2 linked regions of the Oryzias latipes genome follow. Each later gene encodes a partner of the first gene's protein in a complex. Links are inferred from orthologs where the notes say so. Each region holds a gene or a part of one and is shown in the gene's direction. Other genes may lie near its edges.

Region 1 (7,678 bases):
GAATCGTTTCATCCCTTTTTTGAAGGATTGATTTTTCATTTTAATTTTGAGTCAACAAATGCAGCTTCATTTTGAAAATGAAAAAGCATTTCTGGTTTTGACTTTTATTTTTAATTATGCTACACAATCGCTTCCATACGGGACCTCTAACCAAAGCTCGGCTCCACAGAAGGCTGACCTCCTCTAAAGAGAAGCTCTGACTTTAGCAGCAGGTGGAACCGACGGCCGTCTGACATTTCTGTCTGCCGTTTCCACTTGGTGTTGTTTGCAGAAGTTCTGACTGCACACAGCAGGAGCCTCTGTGGGTCTTACTTACCGCGTTACTGGAGTTTCTTTGGGCGTTGGCAGTTTGGTCTGTTTCCAGAGAGTCCAGGGGCTGTTCCGTTAGCGTGAGGACGTTAGGCGGCGCCTTCATGTTCAGGAGGTCTGCAGGGGGAACTGACTGGATCAGATCCAGGTCCCTGGGACGAGGAAACGTCAGGTCTCCATCGTCGCCTGCAGACAAAGTGGAAAAAGAAGGTCATGACCCCTGCTGAGCTCTACAGGCTAGCATGTTGCTCATTCAGCTGCTTCTCATACAGACCCACTGAAAATGTCAACATGTTCTTCTGGAATTTTTCTCATGATGGAGGAGACACATAAAGAACTTAAACCTACACTTCTGAGTACTTCTTTAATGAAATGGTTGTGAATCAGGAGCCCAAGATGAAAAAAAGCCGTTTGAAAAGGAGTTTATTTGTGGTGTGGAAAATACGCTGGGCGGGGCTATTAAGCTCCCAGCTCTGCTCCATTCTGATCATCCTCCTGCAGACCAATAGATCCATGGACGTCTTTGTTTTCCTGGTCTGAACAGGAATCTGGATCTAAACTGTACGGATGGATAGCTACGATGTTCCTGCCATTTGTGTTGCACTGGCACCATTAGTTTGGGGTTGTGAGGGGCTGTAAGCTTGTGGGAGAGACTGTTAACAAAGGGATGATGGGAAGTGAGGCCACGCCTATTCCCCACAAGCAGCCCCGCCCACAACTCAGAGGTGAATTTCGAATGAACTCCTGCCGCTCTGCAGAGACGGTCCTAGAAAGCAACACAGTTTTGGGATTTTTGCTAAAAACGACGTAATGATCAAGAAAAGACCACTAGGAACGTTTGAAAACTGATCAAAAGATGACCGGAGAGGCACTTTAATGACTTCCCAGGTGCGCTTCTCCTGCACAAAAAACTAACGACTCACCTGCAACAACAATTCTCTCAGGAACTTGCATCAAAGTGGAATGAGGCGGCGGCGGCTCCTGAGCTTGCATGCGCCCCGCGGAGCTCTCCGGGCCGACTTTGAGGGTTTCGGGTATCCGCATGCGCTGGCTGATGCCCTCCATGTATTCCAGGTCATAGTGGATGCGGCTTATTTCAGTCACCTCACCAGAGGACATGAAGGTCGGCCCACTCATCCGGCCTGCAAGCATCAAGGAAGAGCACTTGGTGACGTCACTGGAGCAAATAAACCCCCCCCTCATTATTGTGGTTCATTTCCGTCCCTCCCCTCACTTGTGTGTCTCCAGCCACAGGCAGCTTAGGAACTGATGCTGGGATGACGAGATGCTTAGAGCTAAAAGTAGTGGGAGAAAGAAGCAGCAAAGCTGATTTCACTCTTCAGAAAACAAGAAATATTTACTGTTTTTGAAGAAGCTAATTATACATTTTCATCAACAGTGAACCCTTTCTTTAAAAATATTTTGACCATAAGATAGGAAACATTGCTCATAATTTATCACCAAATGTTTGATTTAAAAAATTCGTTTGACAGCATAAAAGGCAGATTAAAACATCTAGATGTGTGATGTTTTCTGGCAATTCAATTTGTTTTCTTTCCTCTAAATAAAAGGAATTTATGTTGAAAAAAAATGTGTGGTTTATTCCATACATTTTAACTGTTACATATGTTTGGATAGTTCTACTTCAGCCAATAATGTCCGGATGTATTTTGTGCAAACTTGTACTTGTCTAGATCTAAAGAGCTCCGGAGGTTTTCCTAAATTCTGACCTGCTGATAACATTCCGTTACGTCTCTTTGAGGCTGATCTAAACCCATTTAAACCTACAGAGCCGCTCTGGCCAAGACACACCGAGCGGGTTCGTTTGATTTTCGTTTACATGGGTCCCGCTCATGCCAAACAAATCCTGATTATTATATCCGCTGTTGAATAAAGATCACCCAAGCGGGTCTAACCTGATGCAGGAGCAGCAAAAAACCCGAAGCGTGCGTGCTCGGACCGAAACGCGGCGCGGGCTAACTGCAGCTGAAGGTGCGTTTGTTAGCGGACACCGGCGGAACCAGGTTACAGGTTATTACGTAAGACAGCCGAGGCTGCTGTCACCGGCACGCGCCTCCAATGTCACTAAAACAAACGGAGAAAAGGCGCCATTTTGAGGTTTAAGCTAACACCCCGCTAATTAATAATAATTAAAAAAAGAACGGTCTGTCTGTGAGGCGCCGGTGGGGCGGTGTTACGTAATCACCGTGAGTTAGCTGGGTATAAACCGGCCTGGCCTCAGCCTGACACGCGTTGAAAGCTTACCGTCCCGGGTTTTAGCACCGCTGCCTCCGGCGCTGCTCCAAACGCTCCGCTCCAGCTACAGCAAACAACCGAAAAAGCCGCAAACGCCGCGAGAGTCGGTGTTGCTGCCAAACGATGTTCGAGTTTGACAACAGGGGCGGAGCTTAACAATCATTGCACGAGAGGCTCCGCAAGCAGGCCGGTCGGTTAAGCAAAACGACCGTACACAAGTTACCCGACATTTATGTAAGAGCTGCACGCGCGCGCTCACCCAGAAACTCCTCTCATCGTTTGATTTGCATGGCGGGTCTTTTTTTCCGCAGTCTTAACTTCCTTTAATGCATGTCGCTTTTTATTAGTCAGTGTTGATTTTTTTTATTTATGATTTGCATTGTTCTGCGTAAATGTATGCCAGAGGAACTGCTGAGGGAAATCCTGAGTTCATGACCGTCTCTCAATTTTGTCTAACTCTCCTTGTCCGCATAACTGCTCCAGCAACACGTTTGCGTCACAGTTTCTGCAACATCCCACTTTTTTATTACAATTTAGATGCTTTTTAATCGGTGCTGTTTTAATAACCGCGAGCTGCACTTTAAAAAGACCTTTATTTTTTAAATAATCTAGCATTGAAACTTAACAGTTTAACAGGAACAAACATGAATTTTTATTAATAATCACTCAACAAAACAAATCTCTTGTGTAAATTGCTGTGTGACAGGGACGCAAAATAAACTACATGTCCCATCATCCTGGCTACTTCCTGATCACTGCGCATGTGCAATCGCTGTGGGCCGTTATTGTGTCCTCCTCAAGCTTCAAATGAACAACAGGCTAAGCCCTCCTAAAAATAAATTAAATATTTATTCCGACGGAGCGGGTTCTTTTCGCCCGGCGTGTCTCGGCGGACATTCATGGAGCGTCTCGGTCTGTAGCTCGTCGTTTCGCCGGGCGGGGTGGTCCTCCGGTGAACTCGAAGGCCAAAAACGGTTTTCGGAGTGACAGCCCCGTTCGAGGCAGCAGGCTGGCTGTTCGTGTAGCTGCTTAGCCTCCTAGCTAGTTTCCCAGACAGCTGCGAGCTGAGGGGTAAAAGCTCGAAGGCCGTCTGAGTGTTGGCAGGGCAGAAGAGCCGGAGCTGGCGCTCTGCCCCCGCGACCGGCAGAACCATGGCACACCTTCGGGACATGCAGAACCAGGTAGGGAGAACCTATCACCTCACTTCCCTTCCTGTCCTAGACCCGAACCCCTCACAGTTGGGCTTTTCAGGAAAACCATGTAGCTCTGGCTCTGCGATCATAAATCACCTGTAATCGTGTTCTAACAGGTGATACAAGTGTAAAGTTCTCAAGTCCATGTTTTTTATAAATCAGTTTTTTATGCGGGATGACATCCCGGTTTGAATGCAGGTGTGTTGTGTAAACGGGCTGTTCCGTCCACCTGTGCACAGACTGTACAGTTCTCCTTCACGTCCGCATGGACTCTTTTTACCTGGACAGCACCTGTTGCCTTTAGCTTTGCAGTAAAGCCTCTTCCTGGAAACCGGAAGTGTCGTCACGCAGATGCAGGTTACTGATCTCATCTCACCTCGTTGATGATGAAGCAGCATGCAGCCCATTAAACGTTTTTACTGGAATAGATCATATAGATCATCCTAGTTGGTTGAACCCATTGTTTTCCTGTTTCACTTTCTTTATTCTAGTATCTTCCACCAGCTTTTGGTGCTTAACCCCAACACATTTTCAGCTATTTTAACCATTCAACTATTCAAATGTTCAGCTTTATCCACCTATCACTTTGGTCCTTAAAATCCTTGAACCTTTCAAGATATTCCAGGATTTCCAGGATCTTCCATTGAAATTCATGGGGAATCCTTGGTGCAGAAGCTCGCTGGTTCGATACCGGCTCTGGCATTTTTTTGAAAAATATATCTTTTGTTATTGTGCTGTTTTTACTTTATTTATGGTCAACTTTGATTATTTCTTTATTTCTTTTGCCAATTATTACCCTTTAATTTTCCTTTTCATTCAGTAATATAGACTCAAGCCTGCGTTTTCTTCTGGAAATGCAGCTCCTTTAGTTATTGGATGAGGCTCCCTGCTACACGCCGTCTCCCCATAAACGCTGCTCTACAGAGACGTCGACCTTGCTTTAAAAAGTTTGTGCATTCACGAGTTGTTGGAAGGTTTGCGGTTTTTCTGACGTCGATGCGTGTTTTTTTCTAAGTCGGACGGGCATTTTTCCGACCATCCCAACACTACATGAACGCAGCATTTCTCTGAGTTTGTCCCTGGGGGGCATCAACCCACTCGTGGAATTAGCATAAAATAAAATAAAAAGTCGCAGTTTTCAAATAAAAACCCCCAAGATATCATGGTTTAAAATATATACATTATTTTTGAATCCTAATTATAGCATGTTTTTGTCCAAATTCCATATTATTTCTCTTGTCTCATGGGGTGGATTACCTTATCCCCGCACTGATCTGCTCCTGGTCCGGCCTTCTGTTTGCTCACCCCTGGTGTAACGTGTGACCTGCGTGTTTTTATAAATACTTTGGGTTCTTTTCCGTGTTCTTGTCCAATTCTCGGTGCTGTCGCAGCAGTTGGCAGTGCTGAGGATCACACGCCTGAAAGCTGGTGTTGGAAAAGAAACGAAATGAACCGTGACGGAGGGAGCAGTGTTGTGTTGCAGGCAGCGTTTCTGTGTCTGCATGCTTGTTTGAAAGGAAGTGCTAACAGCCAGCGGTGCTGCTTCTGTCCACCCTCCACCAGAACACCCACCTGGACCCGGAGGAGTACTTCACCAAGCAGGAGCGCATCGGGAAGGGCTCCTTTGGAGAGGTCTACAAGGGCATCAACAACCGCACTAAGGAGGTGGTGGCCATCAAGATCATTGACCTGGAGGAGGCAGAGGATGAGATAGAGGACATCCAACAAGAGATCACAGTGCTGAGCCAGTGTGACAGTCCTTATGTTACCAAATACTACGGGTCCTACCTCAAGGTGAGAGAAAAGCTGCAACTGCCTGCTGTTTACCTGCAAGCAAGGCTTTTATTTCCCACAGTTGAACTACTGTGTATATCCCCCCCCCCCCCCCACCCCACCCCACCCCCCAGGGGACCAAGCTGTGGATTATCATGGAGTATTTAGGTGGAGGATCTGCTCTGGATCTGGTAAGAAGATTTCCATTTTTATGGAGATTACAAATTACACAAGACGCCGCCTTGCTTACTTTTAGAGCCTGCCGGTTCTCTCGCCCTACTTCTGATGTCTTGGTTTACCCGCCGTCATCGTAGCTCCGCCCAGGACCTCTGGAGGAGACGTACATCGCTACCATACTGCGGGAAATCCTGAAGGGGCTGGAGTATCTGCACTCCGAGAGGAAGATTCACAGAGACATCAAAGGTAAAACGGAAGACCACTTAGAGAATCTTCACCCAGGAAACTTGTCAGGAGGGGAAATGGACTCACCCAATGTGTGTGCTGGTTCTGGATTTGTAACCCATCCATTTTGTCTTTAACTGAGGGTACTTGCTGTTGTAAACGAATATCAAAAACGTTCAAATCCAAAATACAGTTTACGCAGGCACAGCTTGAAATGACATCAACTTCAGACTAAGTACAAATTCAAAAAGTCTCCCAAACATAAAAAAACCCTTAAATGGTACGCTCCAATCGCTTGATACACACACTCAAAACCACACCTACACACAGATCAGAGTCACAAGAACACCAGGATGGATGGATGGATGGATGGATCTTTATTTGTCAAAGTCATACATACAATGAAATTAAAAGTGCCTTCTGGTCAGTGCAACATTCATCCATTAAAAAAAAATGTAAACAACTTACTACTAAAATAATACATAAAACTACATAAAAACCTCTGGCACCACCCCCTCTGACACCGCCCCCTCTGACAGCTCCGCCCTCTGGCACCGCCCCCTCTCGCTGTGCCAGAATGATTGAAAGTTTGAGGGGGAAAAATGGAAGATTTGAAACTCGAATAAAAAAACTTTTAATTATTACCAAATGAAAAATATTCTTTATAAAGTTTGTAGTTCCAGTTTAGAGCTGAAAGCACCAGAAGCGCTTTCAGCTGATGGGAATCATGTCACGACAGCCAATGAGCTTCCTTAACTCAGGTTCAGCAGAAAAGACTGAACGTCTGAATTCAAACTCTAAACGTAAAACGGAAATTAAAGAATAAAAAAAGAAAACAAAAACAACAGCAGCTGTTATGAATAAACAATATTTTTCATTTAGTAACAGTTTAAGCTTTAAAGTTTTGTTTTTTAAATTGAAGGTTCAAAATTAAAAAAAAACATTTCTTTTCAAATGTTCAATATTTTTAGACTTGAATCATGCTTAAGCCTGTTTTGAAGTGTTGACTTTTTGTCTTCCAATTGATGTGACCCTCTAGTTGTGCCTCTTTAGCCGTCCTGACCCGAGGCTGCAGGTCTTTCTAGCTAGTTAGTGGACACGGCAGTGACTGACGTCTGTCTCCTAGCTGCCAACGTGCTCCTGTCAGAGCAAGGCGACGTGAAGCTGGCAGACTTCGGCGTGGCGGGACAGCTGACGGACACGCAGATCAAGAGGAACACGTTTGTGGGCACGCCGTTCTGGATGGCTCCAGAGGTCATCAAGCAGTCGGCCTACGACTTTAAGGTGAGGGAAGTCTGTTCCAGAGCTGAAGAGCGTCTGTGGTGCTGACCTGTCTGGGAGGGGGCGCAGGAATGCTGAGCTTTTGAAACAGCCATTGAATTCATTTCTGTTTGGAAAAGCTTCATTTGGTTCACCTTTCCTTACACTCAGGCGGACATCTGGTCTCTGGGAATCACTGCCATCGAGTTGGCCAAGGGGGAACCCCCCAACTCTGACCTACATCCCATGAGGGTCCTGTTCCTCATCCCTAAAAACACTCCTCCCACGTTGGAAGGGCCGTACAGCAAACCGTTTAAAGAGTTTGTGGAGGCCTGTTTAAACAAGGATCCCCGTTTTGTGAGTGAAGCTGCATTTTCACCTCCAACCTTCTGTCATGTGATGGCGCTCTAGTGAAACCTTGTTTGTTGTTTTAAACCATCAGCAGAAAAAACGGATCATTTATGTATGAATCCAAGTCATGTAGG
Region 2 (7,183 bases), on another chromosome or scaffold:
CCATTTCTGATCATCCACCTGCAGACTCATCTGAGCTGGAATCTGGATCTAAACTGTGAAAATGCGTCTACTTCTGCTAAAGCCTTTTACGGTCTCCAGATTTAAAAAACAATAATAGCCTCTTAAAATGTTTATATTAATGAAAAAGAAATGTTAAAGCTCGAATTCTGCAAAGGACTACAAATGTTTTCTTCTTCTTCTGTTTATTTTGTCAGGAGTTACAGCGCCACTTACTGACACTGGATTAACACGTTATTAACGGCTAAAGCGGCTGCAGCAGTCTTTTCTTCTACAAATAACAAACAAAAACCATCAAACAGAGAGAGACTCCACGCCATGCGGCGGTCATTGTATCACGCATCATTGCGATTTTCATCGTTTCCAATGACAACAATAAATGATTATACAGTGTTGCATTTAGGGGACGTTCTTTAATGTTTCAGAGGTGTAATTCAGTTTAAGGAAGCTCTCCGTTGTTTCCAATACCTGCAGTCACGTGTTTTTTATGCAACAGGATTCAACATTTTTCGTGAAAAGATGGTTAAAAATGTACAAACTTATCGTAGTTCAATCAAGACAGCTTTTCTTTTTTGTATTTTCTGCTGGTTGAAATGTTTTTAAAAAGTTTCTAATGGCCATTTGCTGAACCTCCCAGTGATATTTTTGTTCTTCAAATTGGGAATCCTCGTCAGAAAAAATAAAAACTAGCATCTATCTAAAGCTCGATATGGCGAGTCTATGATGGTGGTTTAAATGAAACGATCTGTGGCTCCTTTGCAGGAAATCTGAGCTGTCTGACCCCAGCGCCGTGCTGGAAGTCTTCAATTTTATTGAGAATGCAGAGGATTTGAGCGATGAAGATGAGGAAGAGGACAGCGAGGGAAAGGGAGTTACCAACGTAGAATCCAGGACGGTGAGGAAGCCACTTTCATCTTTGCATCACGCAGTGGGAGTGCTGTTAGAGAACAGGCTGTGTTGCCTCTAGATCATGAGGAAAAAGCCTCCTCCCTCATCGACCAACATGGACACCAGTGAGGACCCCGACACCAACGCCGTGCTGAAGGTCTTCGACTTCCTGTCCAGACCCGATGAGATTGACACTTCTGAGTCCAGAGGCACCGGCGATGGGACGGACTGGGGTGAGTCACAGACTGACCACGAACACAAACTGATAAATCCAAACCCCTTCAGCGAGAAAAGGATTCATTCCAACTCCGGCCGCTGATCTTTTAAATTTGGGAAGTTTTGACTCATAGTTTGTTGACTGCTGGTGAGGTTCCGTCATTCATGTGTCATTCTGTGCTCATAAGTCATGATGTGTCTGTTTAACACGCAGTTTGTGTTCTCTTCCACTGTATGTTCACAAGTCCAGCCTGTGACACCAACATGTTTCCACTCGTCTGTCGTCAGATCGCCCAGATCCCCTCTGAGCTTCGCTGGTCTTTAGCTGGAGTCAAAACAATCAGCTTGATGTCATGCTGGGTTTAATCTTTGACTTTAGCCACAAAAGACAATTTTATCTCAAAAGCTGAAGTCAGACATTCCCCACCATGACACAAACCTCTCTCAAATCCACCTCCTTCTTTCTGCCAGCAGAAAGAAAACACAGAGGAGGGTCAGGAGAGGCCCGTAGCTCCGCCCTCCTCGTTTATGAAATTGATTTGAATCTGAAAGTCTCAGAGCGTTTGCAGCTCTCTGTCTGCAAGGACCAGGGCAGTTTCTCAACAGCCTGTCGGTCTGGTTTTGTCCCCTTGTGTAGAGAAGAACGAGCAAGGCTCCATTTCTGAGGCCTGGGACGTGGCCCCGGGCCTGATAACCCAGCTCAAGGAACAGTACAAAAAGGATCGCAAGGGGAAAAAGGGGGTTAAGAGTAAGTCCTGCTAGGTATTGCTGCCTCCCTGCTTCTTCTCATTCTGCAGAGCCTAAAGCCTTAGTCACAACTGAACCTGCGGGTGGAGACGGGCTTCCTGCGGGCGAAAAATGGTCAAACCTGTACGGGTGGCACCCGTCAATACCTGCTGCAGTCTGGCCGTTAGACAGGAGGAAAATGGACAGAGTGTAGTTTGTGTGGACATCCCATGAACACTTCTGTATCACCCAGTGTGTGCAGCACTTATGCACAATTAGTAAGGAGACTGTACTGGCACCTTGAATGTGCCGTGACGACACTGTAGGACAGCATCACCTGTAGGTTGTAAGTGTGTGTAACTTACATTATTGCCACACATACACACGACAATGGTACGTCCCGTTTTAATGATGCCCCTTGAGGTCCTTGTACGAGCCTCAAGGAAGCTGCAAGATAAAGAAAATTCTACAAAAACTTTGCATTTCTGAGTATTTCTTTAATCAAATCGTTGTGGAAAAAAAAAGCTGTTTGGAAAAGATTTTTGACGGAAAATTTGCTCGCCGGGCCACAAGCTCCCTGCTCTGCTCCATTCTCAGGCGAAGGGTCTATAGATGCATTCGTTTGGGTTGCTCCACGCCAACTTTCCCGCCCACAACTCTGAAACTCTGTCCTAAATATCGACACGGGTTTCTTTTCTTTTTTCATTTTGGCTAAAAACGGTAAAATCCTGATCAAAAGAGCACTGGGAACACTCTGAAACCCGAAAGCCGAAAGCCTCACAGCACCCGTACAGGTCAAGCCCCCCAGTGTGACTAAGGCTTTACTTTCCTGAGAAACCAGCCTCAAATCCAAATTGGAGCATCTTCACTGTTTTCTCTGAGTTTCTTCTGTCGCCGCTCCTCGTTCTGCTTCTCTGTCCTCTTCACATCTCATTCTTCAGACCTCTCCGGTGCCTTCAAAACCTGCATCTGTGCTCAGGATTTCTTTTGCCCTTTGGTTGACCCTGGTGCATGCCTCATTTCAGTCTTTCATCGCCTTATTCTCATCTTCACGTCATCGTGCTAACCGTGAAAGATCAGACCGCCGTGCCACAGTAGCTCTGTGATTGCCGCCGTGGTCCTCATCGGTCGGCTCGGCTCGCGTGGAGAAGTCGTGTAGCCGCTGATGTTCTGCCGCTCGATAGCAAAATCAGAGCTTTTCCTGTGACCCGCATGGATGACTCATTCAGCAGCCCACAGATTTCACATTTCTGACACCCAGTCTCCGCTCTCCTTCTGCAGCGACTGCTCGTGACATCAACACTCACTTTCTCACCTTCCTTCTACGCTGTTTACACAGCCCCCCCCCCCCAAGAGTGTGTGGTTTTTTTTTTTGTGGGTGTTCGGACGACACCATGTAGAGTTTCTGTTCCTGCGATTTTTGTCTGTTGCAGCTCCTCATAATCCATTTCTGCGCCGTGTTCATACCAGCCGTTAACTGCTGTTATTTATTGCTAAAACTGTTGTTAGATTTAAAAAAAAAATAAGCTGGAATTTACAGTTTTGTGTTGCCAATTGCACCTTTGTTTGTTGAGCATCACAAGGAAACTTTCCTAGGTCTCTGCTGGTTGCTTAGCAACAGCTCTGAGCCGGAGGAAAGTGTGTCAAAAGGACAGACTGAGCGGATCGTAGTTTTTGTCTCACGCACTTCTGAAAGGATGGCAGTTAAAACGTACAGATTCAGGTTTAGACTACAGTGATTCTCCACACCAGCGGCTTTAAAGGCAAATGTACCTTTTGAGTAGGTTTCACTGCTTTTCTTCAAACTTTATCTATTTTTCTTTCTTCCCAGTCCTTCCATCTTTTCATCTTTTTTTCTCTCAGCTTGTTTGCACTCTTTTTCTCTCGTCTCCGTTCTCCATCAGTATGTGTTGGTTCTGTTAACCGGTGTAACCCCACCTGTGAACAGGACCCAACCGATCCAAGCTGCAGGACATGCTGGCCAACCTGAGGGACGGCGAGGACATGCCTCACATGCAGCCTCCGTCCGCCCCGCAGCCCCGACCCAGCGTGCCCCGCTTTAACGAACACGAGGGAAACCGGCCGGATGAAGGTGCCTCAGAAAGACCGCCGCCCCCTTTCTGTTTGAACTTTGGTTATAATCAGGTTTCCTCTCCGCAGTGGAGACCCTTGCTTTCCCGCCCACCTCAGGGACGTTTATTATGGGCGCAGACGAAGCTATGAAGAGCGACCTGGGACTCGGGGAGCTGGCCAGCATCACCGTGGCCAACGAGGTCGAGAGTCTGGCATACGATGTGAGTGAACTGTTCCGGTTTTTCCGGCCCGAATCGTTCACAAGTCTGCGTTTAGCGGGTCAACCAGACAACGGAAAATAGCATCTCTTCAGCCATTTTACCCCTATGAAAGTAACAGTCCACCTGGACCTTTTCTTCTTTATTCATCACATAATATTTTAAATTGTTTTTCAAAATAATTTCATCCCTGACACTATTAGATAAATTGTTACAGATCTAAAATGTTCTAGATCTGTAACCTGAGGCTCTGGAGCCACAAGCAGCTCCTTTATTACTCTATCCTGGCAATATAAAAAATTATAGTTTTAGTTTGTTTGTTTTTGCTAACTTTGTTTTATCATTTATGTACACATTTATGACATCACTGAGAGAAGTGATGGTAAAAAGTTCAGTCTGCTGTCAGAGTGGTTTAAGATTCAACATGTTCTTTTCTTCTGCTGCACAACAGAGTCTAGAGAAGTTCTTAAAGATTCTCTAAAAAATAAATTAAAAAAAGCTGTATTCTACACTGATCTCATCACATTTATATTTGATAGTAAGAGGAGAAAAAGGATGACAGTGATTCGCCAAACTCTCTTGCCTTTGTTTAAACCAAAACTGCTGCAGCAAAAGGATCCTATTTGGCACACAGGATGTGTTTTATTTTGAAAGGATGGTGTATATGCCGGTGTCAAAATAAAAAAGGGAATGAATAAATAAAGTTAAAATAAGTTAAAATTCTCAAATTTGAATGGTGTAAAATAACTCTAAACCCCCCCCAAATGAACTGATTTCATAGATGAAGTGATCCGAAGGTTTTGAGTTGAGGCCCTGATAAAACACTGAGTAGTTAGGAATATGTTTATTTCTGTTTATTTGATTCTATTAAAGGCATTTTGATAAGAATGACGGTATCAGACTGTGGAACAAGTGAACAAAACCATGAAGCTCAGAGACGCTAGTCTGTCTGGCGTTTGGCGGCTGTTTGCACTACATCTCCCATGATGCATTGAGTTAAAGTGACAGTGTCTCAGCGCACAATGAGCCTTTCTTTGTTAAACGTCTTGAAACCACAACGAACACATATAAAACTGTTTTTAAATCTTCTAAATTAACTTTTATTACATCTTTTAGAAAAAACAGCTGCAGCTTCCAGCTTTTTCTGCCACAATTGTCACAAAAATGCATGTGAGATCATGGAGGGGCTGTAAATCAATACAGACTGAGTTTTTCCTTTTTTTTTTCTTTTTTCTTTTTTTTTTTGGATGCCGCTAGGTTTTTGTCAAGGATAAAGTGTGCCGTGGCTCAAAAAAGGTTGAAACACTGGTCTAGATGAACCCGCACAAGTAGTTTTGTTTGTGTAATTGATTTTATTTTTGTTCTGCAGCTTCATGAAGTGCAAATATAAAATACATTAACAGCGGTTAAACTCTCATTTTCTGTTGGTGACGGTGTCAGAGTCCTCTTGCTTTTCGTTTTTGTTTTTTTAGTTATAAACATTTGAAAACACAGAGTGGAAGGAAAAATCTGTTTGTTGTCTGACCTGGATGCTGAGCGTCTCCGCTTTGTTTCTCAGATTGGCAACAATAAGGACGCGATGAGGAAGACGTGGAACCCCAAGTTCACCCTGCGGAGTCATTTCGACGGGATCCGGGCGCTGACGTTCCACCCCGTGGAACCCGTCCTCGTCACGGCTTCGGAGGACCACACGCTCAAGATGTGGAACCTGCAGAAGACGGCTCCCGCCAAGAAGTAATGTGTTCCTGCTTGAACGACTGAAAGGAGCATCTCTGCTTTCGTTTGCCGAGCTTTGGTTTAAAAATCTGTGTTTTCCACCTTCGTGCGTGGAAAGCTCTGCCCACGTGAGTGCTGCTGTTTTCTGTCATAGTAATGAATGCTCTGTCTGCAGGAGCACATCTCTGGACGTGGAACCCGTCTACACCTTCAGGGCACACAGGTAAAAAGCTCATTTTAGTATCCAAGTTCTGAATGTAACAAAGAAAAAACAGCAAACAACAGATTAACTACATTTGAGATCATCTAAGTCATTCCAGACCCCCCCCCCCCCCCCCCCCCCCAAAAGGTCAACTATCTAAGCTGTATTTAGATTATAGAATCAATTAACTGTACAAAGTGTGAACGTGGAAAACGGCGGTTTGAGAAACAAAAAGACTAGAACATCTGCTGTAAGATGAGCAGGAACTGCAGCCAAACAGGGCGGAGCTGCGGTTACAAAAAATGAGGATTGTCATCATCACGTTTAAAAAAAAAAAAGGTATCAGAGCCAGAATGACTGAGGAACAGGTGTTTGTTTCCCTATAGACGTCGTTGGCTACTTGGATCCAGCGGGTACTTCCTGTTTGGAATGTCAGGGGGGGCGGAGCCACTCAGTCCGGTTCTCTTATACAGTGAATGGTCATTGTGCAGACGCATTGAGAGAGCTAGCAGCTGGTTGTTGCTCAGCTTGGGCCTGTGGCGTGTTGATGATGGGGTCACTGGGTGGAGTCCAAACCGACGGGAAGGAGAATCTGATCGTTCTCCTCCTGAAATGTATGATATTTTTCTTATTTGTATGGAGACAAAAGGCCTGGGCTGCTTTGAAAAAACAACAAAAAAACAATAACTCGGTCTGAATTGATCCAAGCTTAGAAGCAGATCAACAATCGATCCATAAAAGAAGAGATCGATCTTTTATGCCTTTCTTTCTCCAGTGACCTAACAGCATAACAGGAGTAAAGCCAAAGTAAGCTAGCTTGATGCTAACGTATAATGGAAATTCCCATAGGACGGCTAATGCTAACGCTTGTTTGACCTAAACACACATTGCTGACTAAACAGCTTTATAAACTCACAGGCAGGAATTTAAGGACACTTTTTTTCTTTCAAAGTAACCATTTTTGGTCTAAAGAACATTTTTTGGCTCAATCTTCTAGAATCAAGTGGAATTCTGCAGCATGAGCTCCACCTAGTGGCCAAACTGAGACGCCCTCTGGGAAAGACAATAATCTGTTATTAATTTTTGTTAGAGCTTCTCCTTATAACACCGTATGCTGTTAACGATC

The links.
Region 2: stk25 (region 1) and strn share a complex: the UniProt entries of both Homo sapiens proteins name them as parts of the core of STRIPAK complex. The link is inferred for Oryzias latipes from reciprocal best matches to the Homo sapiens genes STK25 and STRN.

Annotation. Positions count from the first base shown.
Region 1 is NC_019875.2:5,712,394-5,720,071, forward strand, and holds the start of stk25 (serine/threonine-protein kinase 25), read left to right. Parts: upstream 1-2,855; 5' UTR 2,856-3,716; coding exon 3,717-3,746; intron 3,747-5,321; coding exon 5,322-5,552; intron 5,553-5,665; coding exon 5,666-5,722; intron 5,723-5,845; coding exon 5,846-5,954; intron 5,955-7,059; coding exon 7,060-7,217; intron 7,218-7,364; coding exon 7,365-7,550; intron 7,551-7,678. Other genes in the region: mitochondrial fission factor homolog A, read right to left, coding at 317-495, 1,233-1,446. UniProt on the Homo sapiens protein: Oxidant stress-activated serine/threonine kinase that may play a role in the response to environmental stress.
Region 2 is NC_019873.2:28,013,833-28,021,015, reverse strand, and holds part of strn (striatin), read left to right. Parts: intron 1-780; coding exon 781-913; intron 914-985; coding exon 986-1,139; intron 1,140-1,759; coding exon 1,760-1,870; intron 1,871-3,796; coding exon 3,797-3,940; intron 3,941-4,008; coding exon 4,009-4,142; intron 4,143-5,697; coding exon 5,698-5,873; intron 5,874-6,030; coding exon 6,031-6,078; intron 6,079-7,183. UniProt on the Homo sapiens protein: Calmodulin-binding scaffolding protein which is the center of the striatin-interacting phosphatase and kinase (STRIPAK) complexes.